3 linked regions of the Nothobranchius furzeri genome follow. The protein of the gene in region 2 purifies or fractionates together with the protein of the main gene of each other region. This does not show direct contact. Links are inferred from orthologs where the notes say so. Each region holds a gene or a part of one and is shown on either strand. Other genes may lie near its edges. The genes, in order: fbxo42, rbx1 and cand1.

Region 1 (3,755 bases), on a different chromosome or scaffold from region 2:
TGCAGAGGATAAGGGCTGGGCCGCGTCCATCCCCCAAACAAAACTAACAGATCTTTGTGCATCACTAGAGTCGCTCCAGCTTTAGGAGAAGGATAGGAGCCTGGAAGATCATTTTCAAAATAAAGAAATCAAATTTAATACACTCAAACAAGGCTCAGAGTTCCTGTTTGGTTCTGGTTTTCACTAAAATGTTTCTCACCTGAGGCTAAAGGACGGATCCACTCCTTGCTGTTGAGGTCAAGTCTCCATAGATCATTGAAGGCAGCGTTGCAGCTACTCTGAGTGCAACCCCCAAACACATACATGGACTGGTTCGAGTCGTAATAGCACGCACCTGCAACATTCCCCCAAAACAAGAAGACGTGCACAGATCAGATGTAAACACAGAATCGATGCAGAATAATGTCGTGCACATTAACAGCAGAGTTGTAAAAGGTGTTTTGTCATCTATGCCGTTATGATCAGCTAAACTTTAGTTTCCAAGATTGCTTTCTGGCGTTGGTCTCTGGTAGGAAGGAAATATTATAAGTCATTCTCCGGGGGGGGGGGGGGGGGGGGGGGAGGCTCAGTTGCGCCGTGAGGACGTAATATTCAGCTGGAGAAGAAAGTGGCAGCAGGTTTGATTTTAATTTCCTGATATTCGGGACATCTTGCCTCTGATTGGCTAACAGCAACTCTGCAACACTGATGTTTATTCTCAACAAATAACACAAACATGATCCTCTGCCATGAGGGGGAGTCGCTAACGCTAACGGTTAGCTTCTAATAGCCGAGACGTTCTCTACTGGTTCCTGGACGCTAAACCAACAACAGTCTTCCTCACTGTGGGCCAAGATGGCCGAGTCCATGAATGTGAAGTGACAGTGTGACGTAGATCTGTCAGATTTTTTTGAACAGAGTGTTTTTCTGCCTATTTTCTATCAGAAGCTAATGCAGGATGTAGAGGTGGAAGGCTATTTTTATGTTCAGCCTCCGTGCAAAACTCAAGCGTGACTGATCACTTTAAAAAAATAATGACTGAAAAGCGATTTCTCAGTGAACCTGCTCTTTAATATATAGATCCCTTTGCAGTGTTTAAGTGTGTTGAGTTGTCAATTAGACAAGAAAAGTACAATAACAAGTTATTTTCAATTTAAAGAAATCCAGATGTCACAAAGGTTTGGCGTGTTTCAGTGTAAGATGCAAATAAGAATGTACTGACTGTGTGAGAAGCGCTGAGTGATCGGGGTTCCAGGATATGGGTATGTCCGACTTTCCCACTGGATATTTCCCTCTTGAACAGCTCTCAAGAAACCATGGTAACATTGATAAGCTACACCTAAATTAGAGAAAATGGAAGTAAGAAAAAAAATGCAAGAACAACACATCAACAGACGGTGGTACAAACAGTGCAAAAGCAAATGGGATGGTCCTACCTTTAATGAGACGATACCACTGCTTACACACTAACGCAGCGGTCTTGTGCTCCTGGTAAGGTGAGAGGAAGGATAAAATATATTCTAGAACTTCCTCTGGCAACTCAACCATTGTTCTCCCTTTATCTTTGGCACAGCTGTCCACGTCCCCTTCTTGTCTACAGGACCCCATCTTTGTCTCCTCTTCTTCTGTTATCCCAGCAGTCTCTGTACCATCATCCTCTGTATCCATGGCAACAAAGTATCCATTTTCATTGTCAGGGGATAGGGACATTATTGTCTGTTGAGACATGTGTTTTGAGCAGAGTTAATGAGCGAGTTCGGCTTCAGCTTCATCCGAATGTGTTACCTATTGAAATTTATGTTTACACTTGCTTATCCGTGATTTGTCCACCACTTCCTTACTGTGCTTCTTTCAACTGAATCTACAAGAGGATGAAAACTTACATAAAACAGAAGGAGCAGCTGCTAATGATGGTGCAAGGTTGTGATCAACATTTAGTGCCATTTTAGCCCACGGCACGAATAAATAATCCATCAACTGTTTGAAATCGATGGTGTTCTTTCTTTAGACCGTGAAGCTGGCCTTTCCACTAAGCACATCCCAGTTATTACATTAGCCTTGTCTAGCTAGCCACTTTTACCAATCACATAACAAAATGAACCATTGTATTGATTATGCTAAATGATTTCTAAAACTATCTAAACAACGGAGCAGTAAAAATCTATTACATTTGCTCAAAATGTCACAAAACATTTATTTGAGTCGTTTGGTTCAGGTTTAAAAATTTAACGCTTCTCAGAGAGTATTAGCATTAGCTAACACTGCCTTCCTACATCCCTGCTAACGGCTGCAAACAGAATTCAATCTTTACCAAGCGACATACAACTTTAGATTAAAATCTCCCCTTTAGTACATTCGAACTGACAAGCGATATATACATATATATATTTAGTCGTTTTAGTCTTGTCGATGTGACATACTCAAGCTTACAGCTAACAGCAGCTAGCATAGCATTTTAGAAGCTAAGGGGCTAGCTGATTTCTGTGGTCCTTCCTTCTCAATGATCTGTTCGCCCGTGTGTACGTCTGTGAGTGTTGCCCTAACATGACAGTGTTCCTCCCTAAAATGTTGACAATTACACTGAATAGCAACATAGGCTTAGTAGGTACCGTAGTTTCAGGTGTGTTATTTGCAGAGCTGTCTGTGTGTATTTTCCTCTCCTCCCTCCCTATATCAGCTCCGATGACTCCTCTGCAGCTTCCACGCAATCGCCATCTTCCGCTCGAAGAGCCGCTTGCTCCCTCTTCAGAGCTCCACTCCAGCAGGCTCCGTCCAGCTGAGGTTCCAGTAGGGTGGGTCGCCGGGTGCAGGAACTGCGCCCCCAGCTGCCTAGGATCATCTCCACAGTTGGAGATCCTGGCACCTTTGAACGCTCCTATACAGATTATAAACTTCTGACTTACATTTTCAAGATACGTCTTCAATCTGGAATTTCAGATATTGTTTCGGAAACACAGTCAGGATTTTTAAAAGGAAGATCTATTCACAACAATATAAGATTGGTAATGGATATTATTGAATACAGTGATATGATAAATGATGACGGTTTCATATTATTTTTAGATTTCTATAAAGCATTCGATTCAGTGGAACACCAATTTATCTTCTCAGTTCTAGAACATCTTGGCTTTGGAGTTAAGTTTACTAATCTAATCAGAGGTTTGTATCGGAATATTAGCAGCTGTGTTTCGTTACCCAGAGGTTCCACCCCCAGGTTCAATGTCTCTGTGGGCATACCACAAGGCTGCCCAATTTCTCCTTGCCTTTTCATATTAGTTAGTGAAATGTTAGCAATCTACTTAAAAAACTGTGTGGATCTAAAAAAGTTAAATGTCCTTGGCACAGAGTTGATCATAAGTCAATTAGCGGATGATACCATGCTTTTCTTAAAAGATTATAAACAAATTCCTATTGCTATTGATAAAATCAAGCTATTCTCTGCAGCATGTGGACTTAAGCTAAATTTGAAAAAATGTGAACTATTGGCTATTCATGACTCCCCTCTAAAAGAAATTTGTAACATTCCCATCAAATCTGAAATTAAATATAGGAACATATATTTCTAAAGACCAACAATTTAACCTAAGGACAAACATAACAAATAAACTTAATGAAATTAAAGCCAAACTAAATATTTGGCTTCAGAGGGATCTCTCCATATTAGGGCGCATTTATTTAACCAAAATGGAGAGTATATCTCGATTAGTTTATCCAACCTGCAGTACTGCAATTTCAAACAACCTAATTAAAAAGATTAACACCATCAATTTTAACTT
Region 2 (3,171 bases):
CGGGTTTGATTTGACAAACTCATGCTGATAAAAATATTAGTACCTAAATATATGTATCTCATATCACCTATTAAGAATTACATTTTTAAAATGAATAAAAATCCCTCTAAATCTTAGCGAAGCCAGCCATGCCCATGCTTCCAAATGGGAAGCAAATGAAGTCCTCTCGTAGATGTAGTTTTGCCCTGTGGCCGCCAGTGGGCGTATAATCGAATGTTTGTGGGGCTGATAGCTAGCTTCTTTAGCCTATTGATTTAATCTTGTTTAACACGAATAACTGAAATACATTTATCAAGTTTCATTAGTTAAATTGTTTTATTGTGTATTTTCCGATTTTATACTAACTGTGTTTTTAACGCCAATTTAAAAATCGTAATTTTTAAGTTGTATGAATGTAGTACCTGCAGCAACCCGATTTCTCCAGCAGAGAGCGCAAATTAAAGGATTGAGTACGCAGGTGTTTTAATACTCTGATGGATATATTTATTTGCATTATTTAGGTCAATCAAATAAAACGACAGATTGCAAGTAATTGAATTAAAAGTTTATTATATACAAAGAACAACCAGTATAAAGAACCGCATTTCTATTATGTTACAGGTTATGTCTGCTATGTTGGTCTTTTGCCACTGGAGGGCGTCAACTCCCCATTCTCGCTCATTTGCAGCGTTGTAGCTAGGGGAGTGTGTGGTACACAGTAGTGTGATGAGTATGACGCAGTGTGTAGCTCAGATAGATACACCTTTCTATACAGCATGAGAAGTTTTTTTTTTTTTTTTTTGCATGAGAAATTAAGGGTGTGTAAAAGCAATGAATAAAAGCAATACATGTGCTATTGATTTAACAAATTCTTTACAGAGAAATGTTAATAAGCAGGGGTTCCATGGTGTAATGGTTAGCACTCTGGACTCTGAATCCAGCGATCCGAGTTCAAATCTCGGTGGAACCTGACCTTTTAACCAATACTTCTTCAAATATTAAGAGTGTCAACGGTAACAATTCAGAAATACAACCTGATTTTGTTTTTTCAAAAATTATTAAGAAAATAATATTTTCTTTCGAAAATTTGCTTAATCTGGTCGAACAGGAAGTGACGCTATTTTCCGGTAAAACTTAGATAAACGCTTCCGGAGAGTTCAAAATGGCAGCAGCAATGGATGTTGACACGCCAAGCGGTACAAATAGTGGAGCAAGCAAGAAGCGCTTTGAAGTGAAAAAGGTACGATAGTTGAAAGTTTGTCTGTGTTGACTAAACTAAACGGTGCACTTTGTCAGCAACGCCGAAAGGTTTAGCCCAACATTAGCTAACGCTAGCTTGCTAAACACCGTTATCGGTGTTTAGCTGTTAGCCTGCTACAAGAAATAATTAATCATTATTCTGTTTATGGCCTTAAAGTCTAAACTAGAACTTGTAGAGAAATAAGAGCGATGATAAACTCTCAGTAGTTACACAATAACAGCACGATTTAAAAATGGACAAATACCTCTTTAATCTCTTAGTCTACATGCTAAATTAGCTTAGTCAGCTAAGCTGTACATCTCGAAATTTCCCAAGATTTAAAGTATTTAAATGACTGTCACATTTCCTCAGGATAAAATGTTAAGTAGTTTTGATGACAAGGTTTTTTTTCTCCTATTCATTACATAATTTAAAAGTAACGGTACTGATAGAGAAGGATTTTATTAATCAGATTTTAATTAACTCCTTTTCTAGATTGAGGTGTCCATGGAAGCATTTTTTAATCAAAGGTTGAAAAACTTTATTTGTAAGATAACTTTGAATTAGTACTGAATGTCAGAGACCCTACAATGAGCCATAGAATTAAGGTTTTTATTTCCAGGTATGAGGTCCTTCATTTTAAGTTACCTTCCTATGAACAGAATGTGATTTTTGTTCCAGTGGAATGCTGTTGCACTGTGGGCCTGGGACATAGTGGTGGATAATTGTGCTATCTGTAGGAACCACATCATGGATCTGTGTAAGTTCACATAGGGGTGTTTGATTGCATGTGAGTTGTTGGCAGCCCTCTTACACAATTCCTCATCCTTCATCAGGCATAGAGTGCCAGGCCAACCAAGCTTCTGCAACCTCAGAAGAGTGCACTGTGGCCTGGGGTGTCTGCAATGTGAGTTTCTAAGGTGCAACTTTCAGTAGGATGATAGATATGGGTCATTTGACTCTGAAAGGCACTCTACAAGTGCAGATCACTTATTTTTCAGTCTTTGCATCTTTGTTAAACTGCTATCCAGTCGTTTAAACATTTCCTTACCTTCCATAGCATGCCTTCCATTTCCACTGTATCTCCCGTTGGCTGAAGACCAGACAGGTGTGTCCCCTGGACAACAGGGAGTGGGAGTTTCAGAAGTGAGTCGGATCCATTAATGCATATATGATTTTGAGGATTGTTTGATGCTTGACTCAAACACATTTTCGTTTTTTCTTTCGCAGATACGGACACTAGTTGTGATATTGACCTGTTCCTTGGCTTCTGCGAGCATCAACCTTTCACTTTCCATTTTGCTTCCTGCTCATATACCTAGATGTTATTTTACATGTTTTGCTATGTTGTAATTCAATAAACTGTAAAACCATCAGTCTTCAGGAGGATGTAATCACATTTGAATTGAAGTCGTAAAACTAGATTAAGTGCACATGATATGCTCAACCATGCACCTTCATAGTTTAGTTCATGAGGTACATTGTGTTGGGACGAAAGTCACGAGCATCTACAGCCACGTGGAATGACATGAGATCTGACACGGCTGTAATCCTCAAGCTACAAAACAAGCAGCACAGCTGGATTAAACGTCTGGACTACACATACCGCCTGAATAATGAAATAACTCACATGCTTATTTAATTTAGTTTATTTAATAATCAGATTAATTTAAAAACCAATAAAATGGAACAAAATGTTTTTAAATAGTTTTATTGTGAATATTTTTCCAACAGGGTGAGACAGACATCCTTTTATTTGCATTTATAACAGATTAATAACAAAACATGCCAACGCTCGTGAGAGTTCGGCTGTGTTCAGAGACAGACAGAGGTTAAACCACGTATTAAATGGCTGTAGAAACGTTCATATCTTAATACGAGGGGGGAGGGGCAATCTAGCAGTGCAGCCGTTTCAATAAAAAAAAAAGATCAACCTGCTGTTAAATGAAGTT
Region 3 (3,755 bases), on a different chromosome or scaffold from region 2:
GCCGTGAGCGGTTCTGGTACTTTTTGGGTCGCAGTGCCGCTTTAACAGTCCGATACCCTCACGAGGGACGAGTTAAATATGCAATATGCCAGAAATGTGTCTGAGTGTACGACTGCTGACCGGTAGGTACCTGGTCATGTGGTGTTAATCGCCTCTCGTAGCCTCCTGTATACTACACGATGCTCAGCACAAAACTCGCCCCGACCTTCTAGATTCTCGTACGAGGGGAAAACCGGCTCACAAAAGTGAAAAAGTCATACACTGTACGCCTAGCTTTAGCCAATCAGAGGAGAGATGCCTAAATATCAGGAAATAGGACTCCAAATCCTGCCATCAGAAGCTCAGCTCAGATGTGGCTCACTTCTAGTTCCTGAAACAGGCGCACTAGAGCTTTGTTTCCTCAAGAGTACAACTTACAAGGCATTCATTCCTACTAGAGACCACTGAAAATGTATTACGCGAGTGAAACTTTAAACTAAATCTTCACTTCTATCTTTGTATTCCATCATCATGCTAGCAACACACTGCATGTGCTGCAGAAAGGCGGAAGAGGAGGAGCACCTACGTCAGCATTTAACGCGTTTTTTACGTGCTTTGTCCATTTTCACCTTTTAATTTGATGATGTCAACATTTCCTGCTTTGATCCGCTCACAGGCTGTGGGACTCCAGATCAGAGCCGCTCATGTGTGGCTCATGATCCGATGTTGTCTCCTGATGAGGACTCGTAACCTCGGAGGTTGATGGTTCTGTGCCAGAGCTCCTGCTGGGTTCCAGACTGCTCAACTTGACAAAAACATTACAATCATACCTTTCCTTTACTCTCCTAAACCATGTGTCCGTTCATAACCCTAATCTGCATGATTGGCTATGATCCAGCCAATCAGAGTGGAGGCCCCTCCCATCACTCCCTCTGATTGGTTTAGACCATCATATAGTCTAACGCAGGGGTATTCGACTCCGCTCCTGGAGGTCTGGTATCCAGCACATTTTAGTGGTTTTTCTGATTCAATACACTTGAGTTACCTGTGCAGCAGCTCATCAGGCTCTGCGGGAGCCGGTTAATCACCTGCTGATTGAAATCAGGTTTTTTGAGTTAAAACTAAAATGTGCTGGACCTCCAGGCCCAGAACTGAATACCCCTGGTCTAACACGCGTCTCACTGGGAGACTTTCAGCATTAAGGCTCATTTCTAATTCTTCGTCAGCTCGAGTGTGGAGTTGCATACGCATCGACGGAGATGTTTTTCAATCTGTTCTGTGTTCGCCACTAAATATCTTCAGCTCTCATTATTTTTTGAGGGGGCGATGGGGGTGCTGTTGACTAATTTAAAGGAAGCAGCGTCCTGACCAATCACAAGCTTGAAATCTCTGACAATTTCAACAGATAGCTGAAAAGTTGGTCACGGCTCCAGCCTCTGCGAGCCTGTCGGAGAGCCCTCACGCTGATGCATCATGACGTTGAGTGTCTCTGAAGCCACGCAGACATACGAGTACAAGTCAGGCTTCTTTAGGACGAGTCACACCTGTGCAGCCTCAGGTTTTCTCAGGTCCATCTGTGACTAAACTGGTCACATGTTTAGGGGAGTACGACTGAACCATCATTTACGATCATCATCAGTACAGTTCACACATCTGAACCATCACTTCCGCCCGTTGCTATGTAACGTGATCATCTACCCAGAATGCATCGCGCACGACAGAATTGCTGGATAATGTAGTTCAAAACGTACTGTGCCATAAACACTGGTGATTCTTTCCTAATTAGTAACTGACTGTGTGTGTTTGTACCGAAGGTTCTGTTGTAGAAGGCAAACAAATCATAGTAAAGCGCGCGATGTTGATTAGTCACCGAGAAGTTTATAAACAGAGCGGAAGAAACCAATTAGAGCTCCTTCTGAGCTACATTCATGTGAACAAACGTCCATCCTGATGAGCTGAAGATCATCCAGACAGTCACATCTGCACCACCTAAACACGAACCCCATCAGCTGACACCTGCCTGCCCTCACCTGGTCACTTTACCTCGGTAAACATCCTCCAGTGCGCCGCTAACAGCACGCTTCGCTGCGGCTGCTACCCAGCTACAAGCAGGTTAGCCGCTAACAAGCGACCGTTTCCGTGCAACTCAGGTGTCAGATCATCACCATGTGCAGCAGGTTTTCTCTATAACTAGCAGGTTATCCCTCTAACCAGCTGCTAATGCCGTATAAACCCGCTGTCGGGCCGACCCGAACCTCAGCAGACCGCTAACCAGCAGGTTAGCGTTGTTTCGCTAGCAGCACGCTAGCCTGAGGCCTTCCTGACAGATGCCTGAAATCCGCACAAAAACAGCGCGTCTGACTAAATCTAATTATTAAAGAAACGCTTTGAGTTTGTTTTAATAAGCAACATGTAAAGCTACCCGTCTGGAGTTAGATTTACCTGAAATCTTTGTCACTGGAGGTCATTTTCTCCAGCAGGTTGGAGATGTGGTACGAGGCGCTCGCCATGTTGGTGCCGTTAGCCTCCTGTTAGCTGACTGAGCCCGGCTGGGCGTCTCAAATGCGGCTGGTTTTGGGTGAAAGGGTGTGTTTCTGCCTCTTCTGCTGCCGTAGCCGCCGTTATCTCCCTCTACAGCCGCTGTGGCATCCCGGGGCGCGGACTTTAGTTTGAATGGGGCTCCGGTTCTCTGCAGAGGGGCGGAGTGAGCGGGACTGGACGCTGCGGGGTTTGAGGTCACTGTTCCCTCATACCGGAGATCCACCCGGTAGAGCCAGCTTCGCCTTTGCGCACAAGTTTAAAAACACCCCAACCAGGATTACTAGTTACAGTTAACCTCATAAGTGAAAAAGAGACGGAAAAGCACCGACTTGAGAGGAATATTCTCCAGACCACCTGTCAGAAGGCGCCACAGATTACCGTAATCAGATTGTATTAATAAATTAATAAACCCGGATAATCCAGGCTCAGGCTGATTCTGTTGGGTCATTCACAAAAAAAATCACTATTACATTATTAAACACAAGGTGTACAGTCACGAATATGTACTTACTGAACATTTTTATGAGTAAAACATTCTAAATGCGTGTTAATCTGATTAAATAATTATGTGATTCATCTTTCCCCATCAGCCCTGGCATAGAGCTAAGTTTTTCTGTGCCTTTATTGAGTTTTTGTGGAATCCCTTCACTACTTTAAAGGAGCAATATGTAACAAATTTACAATGAAATCATCACAAAACAGTCTAATGTCTCATTCATGTTGGAAGGAAGGTTACATTTAAAACAGATTTTTTTCTCCTTCTTTTGTGTGTTCTTGCTGTGTTTAGTTTCAAATTCCATCTTTCAGTTCTTTTTACAACTGCTGCCCGCGGATAAACGAAGGAAATGACGCCACCATCGGTGCCAGCCTGATGATGTTTGCAGCCGCAAACGAAACGTTGGAGGTAAATAAACCTTTTCTGTGTTTTAAAAAGAACTGAAAGATGGAGGTTATTTTCTCAGCCGGCGGGGGTTATCGGTTTATCTCCTTTCAAACATCTAAAGAGGGATGTATTTGTAGTTTACTATACATGAGCCTGGAGTTGCTGGGTCTGCACCGAGCTAACGCTGCAAAAACTACTGACTTTTTGTAATAAACGTCACACACAGGTTTCTGAATAGCTGATCTGAAGCCTGGTGGCAGTTCCCACCACTGCCATCTTGGCTTTGACCCACGTCTTGCATGAAAATACAAAAATGGAGCTGAGAGTGCACTTCAAGGGAAGTAGTAGCTCA

The links.
Region 1: the proteins of rbx1 (region 2) and fbxo42 purify together in Homo sapiens (affinity purification with mass spectrometry; 4 studies listed by BioGRID and IntAct, with this or other methods). This does not show direct contact. The link is inferred for Nothobranchius furzeri from reciprocal best matches to the Homo sapiens genes RBX1 and FBXO42.
Region 3: the proteins of rbx1 (region 2) and cand1 purify together in Homo sapiens (affinity purification with western blotting; 6 studies listed by BioGRID and IntAct, with this or other methods). This does not show direct contact. The link is inferred for Nothobranchius furzeri from reciprocal best matches to the Homo sapiens genes RBX1 and CAND1.

The regions. Positions count from the first base shown.
Region 1 is NC_091743.1:45,889,682-45,893,436, forward strand, and holds the start of fbxo42 (F-box only protein 42), read right to left. Parts: upstream 2,811-3,755; 5' UTR 2,589-2,810; intron 1,841-2,588; exon of another isoform or gene 1,785-1,840; intron 1,696-1,784; 5' UTR 1,690-1,695; coding exon 1,416-1,689; intron 1,319-1,415; coding exon 1,202-1,318; intron 335-1,201; coding exon 200-334; intron 101-199; coding exon 1-100. UniProt on the Homo sapiens protein: Substrate-recognition component of some SCF (SKP1-CUL1-F-box protein)-type E3 ubiquitin ligase complex. Specifically recognizes p53/TP53, promoting its ubiquitination and degradation.
Region 2 is NC_091752.1:65,786,403-65,789,573, reverse strand, and holds rbx1 (E3 ubiquitin-protein ligase RBX1), read left to right. Parts: upstream 1-1,083; 5' UTR 1,084-1,141; coding exon 1,142-1,219; intron 1,220-1,900; coding exon 1,901-1,979; intron 1,980-2,055; coding exon 2,056-2,126; intron 2,127-2,279; coding exon 2,280-2,365; intron 2,366-2,449; coding exon 2,450-2,462; 3' UTR 2,463-2,595; downstream 2,596-3,171. UniProt on the Homo sapiens protein: E3 ubiquitin ligase component of multiple cullin-RING-based E3 ubiquitin-protein ligase (CRLs) complexes which mediate the ubiquitination and subsequent proteasomal degradation of target proteins, including proteins involved in cell cycle progression, signal transduction, transcription and transcription-coupled nucleotide excision repair.
Region 3 is NC_091741.1:34,342,710-34,346,464, reverse strand, and holds the start of cand1 (cullin-associated NEDD8-dissociated protein 1), read right to left. Parts: upstream 2,710-3,755; 5' UTR 2,490-2,709; coding exon 2,422-2,489; intron 1-2,421. UniProt on the Homo sapiens protein: Key assembly factor of SCF (SKP1-CUL1-F-box protein) E3 ubiquitin ligase complexes that promotes the exchange of the substrate-recognition F-box subunit in SCF complexes, thereby playing a key role in the cellular repertoire of SCF complexes.